Coturnix japonica: one gene and its partners. The protein of the gene in region 2 interacts with the protein of the main gene of each other region in a biochemical or structural test. Links are inferred from orthologs where the notes say so. Each region holds a gene or a part of one and is shown on either strand. Other genes may lie near its edges.

Region 1 (4,937 bases), on a different chromosome or scaffold from region 2:
CGGGCAGGGGGCTCTGTGCAGCCCCAACAGGCTGCACAGCTGAGTATGGAGCAGAGAACAGCGTTATGGGACCCTCAAACCAACCCCCCAACCCACAACTCATACACTCTCAATCCACCCCAAATCCTCACCAGGGAAGCTGTGTTGGTTCTGGAAGCCCACCATGGGCTGGGGGCTGAACTGCCCAGGGGATGTGGGGACGAAGCTGGGGGCCAGCATCACGCCAGGCTGGGGCTGGCTGCTGGGCATGGCCGCAGGTTCCTCCTTCACCCCCGGTGCTGCTGGGGGGCCAGGGGCTGGCAGGAGTGGGGTGGGGGACTGTGAGGTGAAGGTTGACAGCACGGGGGGGGGTGGGAATACATTGCTGGTGGGGGGTGGCTTGCTGGGCCCCGGGAATACGTTGCTGGTGGGGGCTGGGGGGAGCCCCGAGGACACGGTGCAGTCAGGGGTCGTGAACGGCGCATCAAACAGCCCCGAAAAGTCATTGTCCGGTGTGTTGATCAGCTGCAGCATGTCTGAAAAATAACAGCCCCCCCCCAAACTGGTCAGTAGCAGCCCCAAACCTCACAGGGAGCCTCAAAGCCATGGGGGGCTCCAGCCCCACACTGCTTGACCCTGCCCTGAGATGTGGGAGCCCAGAGGAGCACCATGCCCTGATCCTCAGGGGCAGCGGGGCTGATCTCAGCCTGCTCCAGGGGGACAAAATGGGGCAGCTCATTCATTACAAACTAGACACCAAAACCTTGACAGTCCCAAAAAGCCCCTGTATTGAGGGCTGAGGAGCTGGGGCTGGGACGGGGAGGTGGCACATCCATGGTGCATCAAACCCCTCCAACCCCTGCACCATGTGCTGCCCCACTCACCCCCAGGCGGGCAGTAGGGCATGAAGAGTTAACCAGCATTAAGCCTGGGGGTCTGCCCTGCATCCCAGCACCCCGGGGCACTGGGGACATCCCCACTGACACACCCCAACACATCGGGCTGCTCTGAGAAGCCCCCATAGAGCGACCTTCATTTGGGCAGCATCCAAACACAGCGCGGTACCCAGAGATGCCAAAGTGACCCACGAGTGCCCCCAGACCCCAAGGGGCGCCCCATACACCCGGCAGAGCACGAGGAGCAGCAGGGGATACCTCCCAGCAGGGCGGGCAGGGTGAGATCCCGGTGTTGGCGGCTGAGCATTGCGCTGAACGCAGCGGGCTATTTTCAAACCATTTCCTCGCCTCCTCCCCACGTTCCCTCCCCGCTGCCGCCCGCGCCAGCCCTGGAGCGGAGCCGGCCGTGGGGTGATGTGACTCCGCCAATCGCTGCCCGAGCACCCGCCGGCCGCCCCCAGGCAGCCCCAAGGTGAGCGCAGCGCAGCGGGTCACTCGCGGGCACCCAGCAGAGGGTTACTCCAGGTCAGGCAGCATTAACTCCTTCACTGCGTGTCCCCACATCCCACAGTGACACCAGCGTCCCTCCGTGCATCCTCAGCCCGGGATACCCCCAGCCTCAGCGGGTGTTTGTATCCCATGGAGCACCCCCAGCCCTGGGACGCCTACATCAATGGGGAGCTTTTCCAAGATGAGATTTTCAGTGGGACCCAACCATGTCATCAACAAGGGCACAGGGACATGGAGACAGTGGTAAATCCACGGTGGGTCATGGCACTGCTGAACACGGATGGTCTCACCCCATGCATTGCCCCACGGGGCCCCTTACACCCTGCAGTATAAACACATGGGGATGGGGACACACAGAGCCCTTGGGATCACGCTCAGTGTGGAAGGGTACGTATAAGTGCCCGTCAGCAAAAGCTCTCCCTGTAAATAGCAGCAGCACACCCAGCCTGTCTCCATACGGAGTACAAGGTGTCAGGAAACACCCCCAATAGGGACATCCGCCCCCCACCTGCCCATCCCTCTGCTCCCTGCAGCTCATGGGCAAACAGAGGCCGCCGTGGTCTCAGCCCTGGTTTGTGTCCAAGGAGGGCAGAGGGGACGCCAGCCTCGCAGGCAAAGTCCTGCCGTGCACCGGGTGCATCAGGACACGCCGCTTCCCCTCCAGCGTGACAACGAGTTAAAGGTCACCCCGTGGGGCGACTGGGTTCAGCTCCAGCCTCGGCTGTCAGCGGAGAAGGGGATCCCAGCACCGACCCCACGAAGGGCCCGTCAGCCCCACGGGACGCTCGGGGGCTCTGCCGCCCCGTCCCCGCCCCGCTCCGTGCTCCACCGGCTCTGCCGGTCTGTGCTGGGAGCCTCGGGGCCCCGACGCGCACCGAGCCCGGGCGGAGCGGCACCACGTGCTGCCTGGTGCAGGTTGGCTGCTGCCTGCTGGGCTGGGCTGCGAGCTGCGGAGGGGGGTCCTGCTGGATGGGTCCAACTGGCACCTGAAAGAGCGTCTCATTGGCACCAGGGAGCGGGTCCCCCTCGGTGCTATGACTGGGTCCCACTGGCACTGGGGATCGGGTCCCCATTGGTGGCATGACTGGGTCCTATTAGCACTGGGGATCGGGTCTGCTTTGGAGACATCACTGTGTCCCATTGGTTTCGGTAAATGAGCCCCCTTTGGTGGCACGATGGGGTCCGGTCCCACTGGTACCAACGAGAGGGTCCCAGTTGGTGGCACGGTTGTGTCCAATTGGCACCGTCCCCATCCCGCAGAGCCCCCAGGAAGCAGCTCCAGCTCCGAGCGGCCCCGGGAGCCCCACGTTGTCCGTGAGCTGCGGGTCAGTTGTGGACCGGAGCCGGGGATGCCCCGCGGAGCCGCCCCACCCCCACCCGACGGCGGGGGAAGCCAGGAGGAACGACCGAGAGTAACCCCGGCGATGACGTCACGGCGGGGCGGGGCTGGCGGCGACACAAGGCTGAGCGATGGGGGAGGGGAACCGTCCCGGGACCGAACCCGCCGTGCGACCCCCACCCATATTACAGCCCCCAGCGGCCCGTCACCCCCCGCACCACGCCGAGCGCTGAGCTGCCCCCGAATGACACACGGTTTTACCGAGCGCGGTCCCCGCCCCAACCGGACCGGTTCTGCACCGGGTTCGCTCCGTCCGACCGTGCCCCGCCGCCCGGTACATCGCACCGACCGCGCACGGACGGTCCGTAACATCGCCCGGCCCCGCTGCCCCGCACCGAGCGCCGGTACCGCACCGAGCCGACACCCCGCGAGCACGAACCATTTCCCCGAGCAGCACCGAACCCGCCGCCCCGGCCCCGCCGCCTCTTCCCTCCCCGGCCCGATCCCGGTCCCGGTCCCGTCCGCACCGTCGATGTCGCTGAGCAGCGCCGTGTCGATGTCACTCGCCGCGCGGAGCTCCAGGGCCAACCCCTCCAGGGCGGCATCGTCGAAGCTGAGCGCGCTCATCGCGGCGGCTCTTACGGGCGGCGGAGCCTTTAGGACCGGGGAGGCCGCCCCAGCGGGGTCGGTCGCCGCATAATCCGGCGGAGGGACGGGGACGCGCGGCCGCACCGTGCCCCAACCTGCTGCCGGGGGGGGGGGGGCCCTGAGAGCGGCCGCCCCTCGTCCCGCCCCCCCCCCCGGGGTCCCCGCCCCCCCCCGGTAACACCGGGACCCGCTGCGGGAGCGCGCACGGACGGGAGCGGGGGAAGGCAGCGCTGCGGGGTGGGTGCGGGGTGCTGAGACCCTCCGGAGTGTTACGGAGCTGCGGGGTCGGGGAGCTGCAGGTTGGGGTCAATGAGGTTTGAGGGTGTTGTATTTTTAGGGCGCTGCGGTTTGAGGGTGATGAAGTTTTAGGGCCCTTTCTGGGTTCATCCTCACCCACCTTTTGTTTCAGCCCCGGGAACCATCCGGGGAAACAAAGCCCTGACAGTTGGCCCACCCAACCGAGGCTGCTCGTGGGGCAGATGGAGCTGGGGGTCTCCTGCACCGCTCCCTCCCCCCCCGCCCCCTGTGCAGCCCCGTGTGTTGTAGGGAACCGCGGGGCACCGCTGCGATACAGGACAGCGCTGCTCCAACATCCCCACCCGCAGCTGAAGACGCCCCATATCCCAACCCTGGGAGCCCACAACGCGCCATGGGGCGGCTCCGGGCGGCTGCGAATACAGGAATATCGGACCATATCGGACCGCTGGGGAGAAGCCGAGCTCCGTTCCCTTTTCCCGCAGGGCAGCGACGGTCTGTGGGACCCCACGTGTGTGTGTTGGGTGAGGGCACGGACCCCCAGTGGGCATCGCTGAGTGGGGCCGGGCAACGACCCGCATCACACAACGCGGGAGGGGGAATAGACGGCACCGACACGGCGCTGCTTTCCCGTTCCGTGCCCCCCGTGTACCCAGCCGGGCTCAGCACCACGCGCTGCCCCGCACCACGAACCGCAGCCCCCGAGGGAAGGAGCGAGCGGGGCCGCGCGGGGCGGGACAACCCGGGATGACGGTGATGGGAAAAACCCCGCCCGTAGAACCAGAGCGGAGCGGCCAATGGGAGCGAAGGGAGGAGTGGGGTGATCCGGCATCACGGAGCGGGGATGCGTGACATCACGGCGGCCCGGCGGGGATCCACGTGGGGCCGATCAGAGAGACGGGCTGAGAGGGGAGGAACCGCCCCGGGAAGAGACGGGAGGGATCACAGAGCGGGGAGGGACGGGATGGGGATGGGATGGATGGGGATGGGGATAGGGATAGGATGGGATGGATATGGGATTGTGGATAGGAGGATAGGGATAGGGATGGGGATAGGGATGGGGATGGGGATGGGGATAGGGATAGGGATGGGGATAGGGATGGGGATGGGGATGGGGATGGGGATAGGGATAGGGATGGGGATAGGGATAGGGATAGGGATGGGGATGGGGATAGGGATAGGGATAGGGATGGGGATAGGGATGGGGATAGGGATAGGGATGGGGATGGGGATAGGGATAGGGATAGGGATAGGGATGGGGATAGGGATAGGGATAGGGATAGGGATAGGGATGGGGACGGGGATAGGGA
Region 2 (4,369 bases):
CCTATAACAGTTTTGGTTCTACTTCTTCCCCATTACCTAATTGCTACAGTGTAATAACTGAGTATATTTTTTAAATACAAGAGCAAATGCTAAAATATAGATAGGTACATAGGAAACAAGGAAAGCTCTTTTTTTTTTTCTTTTTTCCCTCTTATACGTTTTAAAAGTGCAGATCTTTTAAGCAATGCTTCACTTTGTTTTCAAGCTGATTATCAGAGAGCTGCAGTGATTTAAAGTGAGTTTTTACCTGATTGAAAATATCTCCTCGAACAACTTCACAATCAACTTTGTATTTACAGATCAGGCAGGAAGCTGTTGCAAATGAACCTTGGGGGAAAAAATATGGTAGAAGTGAGGACTTTCAGATTTGGTCTTTTTGCCAAAGATGTTACGACACAAAGGCTGTTAAATTGCAGTGCTAACAAGAAACAGTTAAAGTCCTTAAAAACTATTTTTAAATGAAGAGGAGATGCCTGTAGTACTAAAGGTAGTTGTAGATGTTAGCAAGGAGAAAGTGTTTTAGGAGGAGGATTTACTGAATATATGAAAGCACAAAATATGCTGGATGGCTCCCCTACTTTCCCTTTCCATCTTTATACGAGTAATAGAAGTGGTGACAGCCCTGCCTCATCAGAGCAGGACATGAACCCACACCAATCTCAGCTGCCTTTCAAAGAGTAAAGTAACTGTGAAAACGCATTTGCTATGACTTCATTATAAGCAACTAAGTAACAGCACTGTTCCTCTCAGAAACTGTCAACAGTTACAGCTATGTTGTTCCCATTAGAATAGTGCTCCAAACTTAGTATACAGCTTGGCTACCATGTTCACTGTTTGGCAAGGTTGTGTAAATTTGCTCTCTGGTGCTCTTGCAGCCCTGTCTGAAAGCAAACCTCGCCTGCTGGCTAACACATGTTAACAATGGGAAACTGTGGCAAACCAGAGTGGCTTTTTGGTGCATACATTTACCCATCGAGGCCTTGTGCCTGTGCAAGGAGTACTGCTAAAAGTTGACAGGACATTGAAGAATGAAGTGAGGAATTGTCAGATTTGTCTTAACAATGAAACAAGGCTTAAAAAAATAATTTGGGGATGTCTGTGGAACGTGTCAAGCTCTCACAGATAGACAACAGATACTGAAGCACAAACCTTTAAATAACTACCGTCAGTTTCTCTTTAACCACTGCCAGCGTTAAGCAGTGTAACTGCAGTGTGGATAGCGTAATGGGCTCAAAATAACCTTTGCTAACTTCCAAAAGCCTCAGGATCCAATAATAGAATATTTTTTATTTGAAAATCAACTGATAAGATATATGGCGATGCTGGCCTGAAATCTAATTACTGTATCATGCAACTGAAAAAAGAAACAACAAAACCAACATTTGTGTGTGTCCGCAATGTGCAAAAACACAGCTGAGTAAGAATTTTGTGATAAATACCTAATTAGGAATGGCATCCAAAAGAAAATGCATCAGATGCTGAATACGTATGAAAACCAGAGTTAGGTTTGGGTTATTCTGTGGGGTGGATTCTATTCTGTTCTCTTTGATCAGGGGGGTTGGAACTACATGATCCTTGAGGTCCCTTCCAACCCGGGTAATTCTGTGATTCTGTGATTACTATGACAGAGCATTGCATTTACTCTCTCTGAATGAAGAAACTTGACAAATCCACTGACTCTTAAGTCTGTAGATGAAAAAGATGAGTCTGATCCCCAGAGAAGCAGAACTCCACAAGAAACAGTTGTAATTAATGGGCAGATTGCCACCTCTGGTACCAGGCTGGCATTGCTGCACTGCTAACAGCTGAGACAAAGAAGAACAGGGTATCACTGCATCCAGAGACCACTTGAGATACCGTGGTAACAGTACCAGCTTCAACAGTGGGTATGTTACAGGAAAAAGGAACTACAGCTTCCCTAGCTTGATGTTAGGATTGTTGGAAAGGCCATCGGGTGATAATTCTTTCCTGATATTTGATCTTGCCCATTGCTAGGACAGCAGCCCTGTGTTCTTAATGGGAGACCAAGGGTTATTGCTCTTAACTCAGAGGTTAACTTCTTCAGTTCCAGTTCTACTGCTGACACTTTAAATACCTGAACTAACTCCAAAAAGGGGAAAAAAAGAAAGGCAACATTTTCAAGTTGTAAAGTACAGTCATGTAAGCAGCAGAGGCTCATGAAATACACGTGCCTTTGGCCAAGCTTATCCTTGTCTGGTCCTTCATCTTCCCACTGACTTGGGGACACAGCTTTCTATTCATTCTCCTGTTGAATTTGAGAAGCGTGGTGGAACATACCAAGAAACACTTTTAACAGGACTTCACTAAAACTTTAAGTTCAAATTAAAGAAAGGTTACAGCATTTCATGAAACAAACCAAGATATGAAAGTGTTGGCTACAAATATCAAATTGGGTCTTACTGGATGCATCTGAAGATGTTTCTCAGTCTCTCTCTCTCTGCAATGTTTTCTTCAGTTAGTGGTAATAATTTCACCTAATATACTAACCACTACTTTAAAAGCAGAGTATTTGTTTAGGAGAAATACCAGTTGAAGGAAAATATCAACACCACTAGCAGTTACCTTGTCACATAGAGCAGTAAATATCATTCCTACGCATAAAAAACAAGAAAAGGGAATCTGAAATTACTGACCATGACATTGAATTATCCTTTGGATTCCTGCAACCTGTTCCAATGTGTCTATGTTCTGAGTATAGTTACGAAGCAATTTTCCTTCTTTATCCATCAAAGCTATGAACTTGTGGCAGAGAGATGGCTGGAATTGGCCTGGATAGATTTCCTATGGAGTTCAAAAGTACATTAGAAAGCTTATATGAATACACAGCATATTTATTCCAAAGGCAGCGATTATGTGCTCATTTTCTGTAATCATCCCCTTTGCATTTTGCCCTTTCTTCTCAGATCCAACTCTTCTTTTACCAGCTGAACTTCTCATCATACCAGGATGAACTGCTCCTTATAGCAGCTGGTACTTTGCTCTTCAGGCAGCACAAGAACAAGGTCTATGTCTTCTCTAGTTTTGTGAACTATAAAACATGAACTGTTTTCTTCCCCTTCTTCCTCAGTATTTTTATTAGAGACATGATTCTACTGCAGTCAGACAAAAAAAAATAATCGTGAGGAACTCTGATTCTGGTCTTTTGGTTAAAGATGAACAGTTTTTACTCATCAGCTGCACTGGCAGCCATTTCTGGACCCTCATTCACTAGCAAACAGAACTACAAATTGGCCATAAAGCCAAAAGCAGGTGGCACTGAGACCAGCTTTACCGATTTATTCAGTTACAACAGTCAGCAATGCAAAACCATGTGGCTTAGAAGAGCAATTCCACTGGCCCAGACAGATGCTCAGCCTTTCTGCTATATCAGGGAAGAGGAGGTTGGCATTTCTAAGGTGTATACAGGAAGAAATGTGCAAAATCTATGGAGTGATTTGATGTCTCCTCTGTGAATAAACAAGCTTGCCAGAAGAAAAAACACATGTAGGCACTCAGCTGAAAGCTTCGCACAAAGAACCACTGCCTAGAGCTGACCAGCCAGGCAGTACCTCTGGCTGCTGTGTGACAAGGAGGCTGGAAGCAGGAGCACTCTATTGCTTAGGAGCACCTCTAAAGAAGAGCTTGAATTCCAGGCCCTCTGCTCTCCTGTCACTCTTTTGGCACTGAACAGCAACTGGGCTGTACACACCTGGGGAACTCGGGCCTTTGTACAGAAAGTAAGCAAGAAGGAGGGGATTTGTTTTTCACCCAAATATTTCAAGTTACTCTTTCTGAAGCTATATAGATCTTTGGATTTAAACTGCAGCAGTCATCAGCAATTGCTCACAGCAGTGTTATGGTCCCGAGAGCTTTTCTATCTTAGTCTGAAAAAGCAAGACGTGCTCTGCCACCAGTAACCAAACAAACAAATATGGGATCCATGGGAGAGAATAATTATAGGAAATAAAGAACTGACTTTACACTGAACAAATGGAAACAAACACTTGTACAGAGGAATCAATGAAGCAGGAGGCAAATTGAGTTTATGGCAGCAGCAGTGAGGAAAGACTGACAAGAGAACCAAAAAATGCACATCCATACAGCGATAAAAGGGTGAATTTCTTGGCACAGACATACAAAGAGATGGGAAACAAAGCAAAGCCAATAGTGCTCATTGAAAAGTACGTCAAAAATGGAGCAAAGCCCAGGTAGAGTAGCTGTGCCTTAAAATATATGTACTGAAGTGAAACATTAATTTCTGGGTCCAAGTATGTTGGCTGAGTAAATCAGCCACTGCTCTGACAGAGCAAATAGCTTTCAGAGTTGCTATTGTGTTTCAGGGCTTTGTGTGTGTGTGTGTTTGTTGTTG
Region 3 (5,154 bases), on a different chromosome or scaffold from region 2:
CTTGAAGAAAATATCTTGCCTTCCCTTTTCAGCAAAATGACCCCATGCGCTCGTTAAATTTTATCCTGCAGGTAATTGTGGATTAAAATCATAGCAGGTTTGCACTCAACCTTGCTGGTCAAAAGAGGCATTGCCTGTATTAAAGTTTCTTGCTACTGAAGATATTTAACAAGAAGGGACTCAGAATTTCTCAGAGGCCAAATAATTGACAGCATTATTAATTGGTACAACAGAAACAGAAACACAATACTATTTGCAGAGGCTTATTTTTGAGTTAGAAAAGGGCATATATTTTCCAATGAGACAATAAATCAGTGCAGATTGTAACACATTAATTTGTTAAATCTAAACATGTTTAGCAGTGCAGGTAATTATATTTTTGCATTAGGAGGCCTCATAAGACATTTATAAGGTTACATTGCTTTGACACTAAACACGTGTGATGATGTGTCAGGTGAGCCTGATAAAGTTAATCGATGTAAATGCCACTTTTAACTAGTAGAAAAAGCTATTCTGTGTGATATATGTCTGTGAACAGCTTACAGAGAACCTGTAATTCTATTTTAGGGGCTAACGGAGAATGTTTGACAGCTAAGGTATAATCAGGAATGCTTTCCTCACAGTCATAACACTGACAGCTCTCCTCCCAAATATGCTAACTTACATGAATGCAGGGACAAACCCAGCACAGAACAAGGAGCTGAGCAGTCTCAGTCTTTGCTAGCTTAGTAGTAGACAAGAAAATGGAGAAATATTCATGAAATCATAGAATTATCATAGAATGGCCTGAGTTGAAAAGGACCACAATGATCATCCAGTTTCAACTCCCCTGTTATGTGCAGGGTCACCAACCAGCAGACCAGGCTGCCCAGAGCCACATCAGGCTATGCACCCGGCCATTGCCCACCCAAATTAATCCAAAAATGTGGTTTGGATTTAAGAGGAAAAATCACAAGTGAGAAGAGACCTGCTGAACAGGAAATAAATGGTTAATATTTCCCAAGAATGAGCACCAAGACAGTCTGGTCCAGAAAGACGCATCTGCACAATCACAATGACAAATACTGACACAGGATGCCAGGAACGATTCAACAAGAGATTCCAAAGAGAACTAAGAATAAAAAGATTGGCACTGAGGTGACATCTGCAGGGGCTGGAGAACAACCTGCAGAGAATAGATGCCTGTTAATGAACTGCTGTTTAACTGCCATCAGCCACCACTAGAGATCATTGCCATGAGAAACAACCAGTGCTGTTTGTACCGCTCTCTCCCCATGGGACACTGTCTGAGGGAGAATAAACCTCTCTCCTTCTCCTCCAGCACCAGCCTGTTACTGCCAGTGTTGGCTATAACTGAATAAGCTTTATTCAGATGATAGATAAATTTAGCAGACATTAGCAGCAAGACTCTAGAGAGGCAAAAAACGGGGGAGGAAAGCTTTAAATAAATACGCTAAAGTAATACTGAATAATAGATGCAATTAATGGTGGAGCAAAACTGTGCCTCAGGAGCCGGGCACAAAGTTAAACCTGTTTTGGGGGGCCTTCCACCACAACAGCAGGGCCCTACAGAGCCCATTCCCAATGCAGAAGGTCTGTGAGGCTGCACCACACGCAGGAGAGAGGAAAACGAGGCAGCAGCGCTGGGTTTGTACATCAAATCAGCTCAGGGCTGACCTGAGGCAGCCTCCACAAACCACAGAACCCCAATATGGCTCCGCGCTCCGCCCTTCCCGCCTAAACCGCCTAAAGACGGAAGTAGAGTCGTTCAAAGGGCGGAAGTGGTGTCAGGAGAGGGCGGAAATGGTCTCAGGAGAGGGCGGAAGTGCGGTGGGGAGCCGGAAGTGGATGAAAGGCGGGGGGTGTGTGTGGCCATGTCTGCGTCGTTGATACGGCGGGGCCTGGAGCTGCTGGAGGCACCGGGTGGGCTGGAGGGGACGGAGGCGGGACAGGAGGGGGTTATCGCAGTGTGTGGCCCTGGTAACCTCCCTCCTCTCATCTTTCAGGCCGGGGAAAGGCCCCGCGGGGACTCCAGCAGGGGCGTGATGGCACCAGGCCGGCAGGAGCTGCCCGGCGGAGGAAGGTAACGGTGGGGCCTGGGAAGAACAAGGCCACGATCAAGGGCAGAGTGGTGAAGTCGGCGATAGGTGAGTTCTGACTTTAGTTCTGGTAGAGATCAGCTCCATTGCGCTCTGCACTCTCAGGCCGGGTCCCTGCATGGTGTCCTGCAGCCCCTGTCATGATCACTTGTGCTTATCCCTCTCCATCCTCCTTGTAGCAGCCCTCGGGTGCTGCCTGGGCAAGCAGGTGATGTGTTTTGTCTCCCTGTGCTCTGACCTAGAGGAGTATCACAAGAAGAAAGCTATAAATCACCTCAAAGCAAATCTGCAGTACATGACAAGCGGACGATGTGTTGCTGACAAAGCTGTCACTAAACAGGTAAAGGTGACACTTCTTTCTTCTTCTGAGGAGCATAAATGAATGGGAATTATCTTCACATCTTCCAGCTTAGGCCCTGTGCAGTAGAGTTGACTTTCTTTCTGGTAGTTGCCTTGAAGTATTTATTTGTGCTCAAACAAAACACCTTACTAAGCTTTAAATTTTTGTTGATAGCTTATTTCTTAGTGTTCTCAGATACTAGTTAAAATCTGGTCATTGTCGACTTCTCTTGGTTACCAAAGGTATTTCATAGCAAAGAAGCCCTTGTTCAGGCTTCCCTTCTGTTCTCTTCTAACTGTCCTCTTCTGTAGCTAGAGGCTGTTTTAGCAGGGATCCAAACATGCTGCTGGCTCACATGGTAGGAATTTCACAGCTTCTTAAATTATGTTTCTCATAACCTGAAAATTTAACCAATAGTCTTTCCCAAATAGTAATTCTGAGCCAGGATTTGAAGGTAGATAACACCACTAGATTCTTAGGCTGTTTTTATGACAACACTTTTAACTTAAAGAAACTAAGTGATTTAGGCCAGTGTTTTTCAGGTTTGAGGTTGTAAATGGCAGGAATGACATATTAAAGAACACCAGGGGAATACTACCAATTTCTTGGATTTTCTAGTCATCTTATGGACTAAAGAATGTTACAGTTTCAAAGAAAGTTTAAGTTAAAATCAATATTGCATTTTCAATAAGAGTTATCTGAAAGTAGCTTCCATGTTTGACTCTGAATGCTACATGGGTGCTTGCTGCTGTCCCAGTGACCTGCTTTGGCTAAGATAATGTTTGCATCTCACACTTCTCTGGTGGCATTCCAGAATGTAGCATGAATGTAGCAGAATAATAAAGGTGTGGTAGGTGAGCTTGAAAATTACTGTTTTGTGATTTGGTCTGGGTGACAATGAATGTTATTTTTGTTTTTTCACGAAGGTTCTTGCACAGAACAGAGGCAGGAAGTCAAAAGATCAGCCTGCAGAGAAGAAGGAAAAGAAGAAGCCTGAGGGCACTGTCTTTACTGAGGAAGACTTCCGTAAATTTGAAAGAGAATACTTTGGAATCCCATAAACAGCATGAAAGGGACTCTTGCAGCTCCAGTCCGTTTGCAGCTGAGTGCTCAGAATACAGGACCGGACACTTAATCAGCATGTTTGAGAGTGGATGTAGGAGATACATCACTTTGTCAGCAAATATACTAGCATCAGACCTGCAGAGTAACTGCTCCTGTCCGGAACTCACTGCTGGAGCCATGGAGGTTCTTTGTTTTTTGCAGTATGTTTTAAGATCACCTCCCTCCAGCCAGCATGTCTTGTGTTCTTGACTTAGAAAGGTGGACTAATCCAAAACCAAATCTTATTCTTCAGTAAGGCATCTGCTATTGGTCTCCAACTCAATGATGATACATTTTGGACAGCAAAAGCAAATCATTAAAAGGGAAGGATGCTTCAAAAGACTGTGAAATCCAAGTACTCCAGCAGTTTCTGTCATTATTACAGTATCTGTCAGGTTTTTCTGGTATTGTAAATATTTTGTATGTGTTGTATGATTAAATAATTGTTGTTACAGGTGCTGCCTATCTTTGCCTTTGCGGTAGCGATTGTTATGAGTGGCTGTGATTGAAGAACATAAACCAGATCATTGTTCTGATCCAAGCATTCCTGTCACTAGGATGACTCAGTTGTGTGAATGTCTTCCCTCTGATTCCTGTTGTCACATGTGTCTTCTCTCCTGCATGCTCAGGCTTTTAGAGTGCAGGTAGGAACTGAGGTGACTCCTCTTCTGCCTGCTCAGTCACCCCTCTAAGAAAGAGGTCTTATATGGAGAAAACTTTCTCATGCTTCAGCCCAAGCTTTTATCTGAGGTTCCAACTAGGAGGGTGCTGCTGCTGGATGCTGCCAGCTCCTGTAGGCAGGAATGCTTGTGACCCAGAAGTCAGCTTTCAGCATGAAGATCAAATCATCTGAACTAGAGGCTGTGGTGCTGGACGGAAGGGATGGGTGTTTGCTTTTGGTTGTTTTTGGTTTTTTTTTTTCATAGTGCTAAATTCCCTGCTGCAATAAATAGACGGCCCAGCAGGTGGGAGTGTTGTTTCAGATTATCTTCCTTGCTAAACTACTGTGAATGTGCTTTTTGGGAGCTCTTGTTACTGCCCTTTCCCACCCTTTTCTTAAGATGATGGGAAGTGTTCTCCCTTTGGAGAGGAGAAAAAGAAGAGACAAGTTCTAATAAAAGAGATTCAAGAGCCAACCCTTGGTTAGAACTAACTCCTTGGTTCAGATGTTAGCAGTGGAAGGAATTTGGTATCCCACCCCCTGCATCCTTAAGTCTGTTCCACCTGTGTTTTGTTCTTTCCGTTGTGTCTGCATAAAAGGGAAGGTCACATAGATATACTTTGTCCAAACAGGGGAAATAGTGAACATACTAAAGTATGTGTTCTGGAAACTGTGCTTAACAGCATGTGGGAGGGAATTTCTTGTAATAAGATCAGTTCAACAGTTTGCAGCCAAAAGTGGTAAATAAAACATTCCAAGGACCAGTTTCCCTTTTTTTCAGTTTGTCCCTTCTCCTAAAATGGAGAAATGTGTAGGGGACCTTGAGGAAAACAAAAACATCCTTTGTTGCTGCAGAAAGGTACAGTAGGGAAGTGTGGCTCATTCTGTTTGCTCAAAACCCAGCTTGTTTGTTTGCAAGCATAAGTAAATAGGGAAGTTGCTCTTTCAAA

Evidence for each region.
Region 1: of the proteins of SIRT1 (region 2) and SREBF1, one has a biochemical effect on the other in vitro, tested with the Homo sapiens proteins (2 studies listed by BioGRID, with this or other methods). The link is inferred for Coturnix japonica from reciprocal best matches to the Homo sapiens genes SIRT1 and SREBF1.
Region 3: the proteins of SIRT1 (region 2) and RPS19BP1 form a complex in vitro, tested with the Homo sapiens proteins (2 studies listed by BioGRID and IntAct). The link is inferred for Coturnix japonica from reciprocal best matches to the Homo sapiens genes SIRT1 and RPS19BP1.

What each region holds. Positions count from the first base shown.
Region 1 is NC_029529.1:4,938,542-4,943,478, forward strand, and holds the start of SREBF1 (sterol regulatory element-binding protein 1), read right to left. Parts: upstream 3,495-4,937; 5' UTR 3,352-3,494; coding exon 3,252-3,351; intron 1,226-3,251; exon of another isoform or gene 1,183-1,225; coding exon of another isoform or gene 1,134-1,182; intron 516-1,133; coding exon 132-515; intron 40-131; coding exon 1-39.
Region 2 is NC_029521.1:8,456,394-8,460,762, reverse strand, and holds part of SIRT1 (NAD-dependent protein deacetylase sirtuin-1), read right to left. Parts: intron 2,803-4,369; coding exon 2,655-2,802; intron 328-2,654; coding exon 248-327; intron 1-247. UniProt on the Homo sapiens protein: NAD-dependent protein deacetylase that links transcriptional regulation directly to intracellular energetics and participates in the coordination of several separated cellular functions such as cell cycle, response to DNA damage, metabolism, apoptosis and autophagy.
Region 3 is NC_029516.1:46,162,758-46,167,911, forward strand, and holds RPS19BP1 (active regulator of SIRT1), read left to right. Parts: upstream 1-1,811; 5' UTR 1,812-1,874; coding exon 1,875-1,923; intron 1,924-2,006; coding exon 2,007-2,147; intron 2,148-2,278; coding exon 2,279-2,439; intron 2,440-3,365; coding exon 3,366-3,500; 3' UTR 3,501-4,096; downstream 4,097-5,154. UniProt on the Homo sapiens protein: Part of the small subunit (SSU) processome, first precursor of the small eukaryotic ribosomal subunit.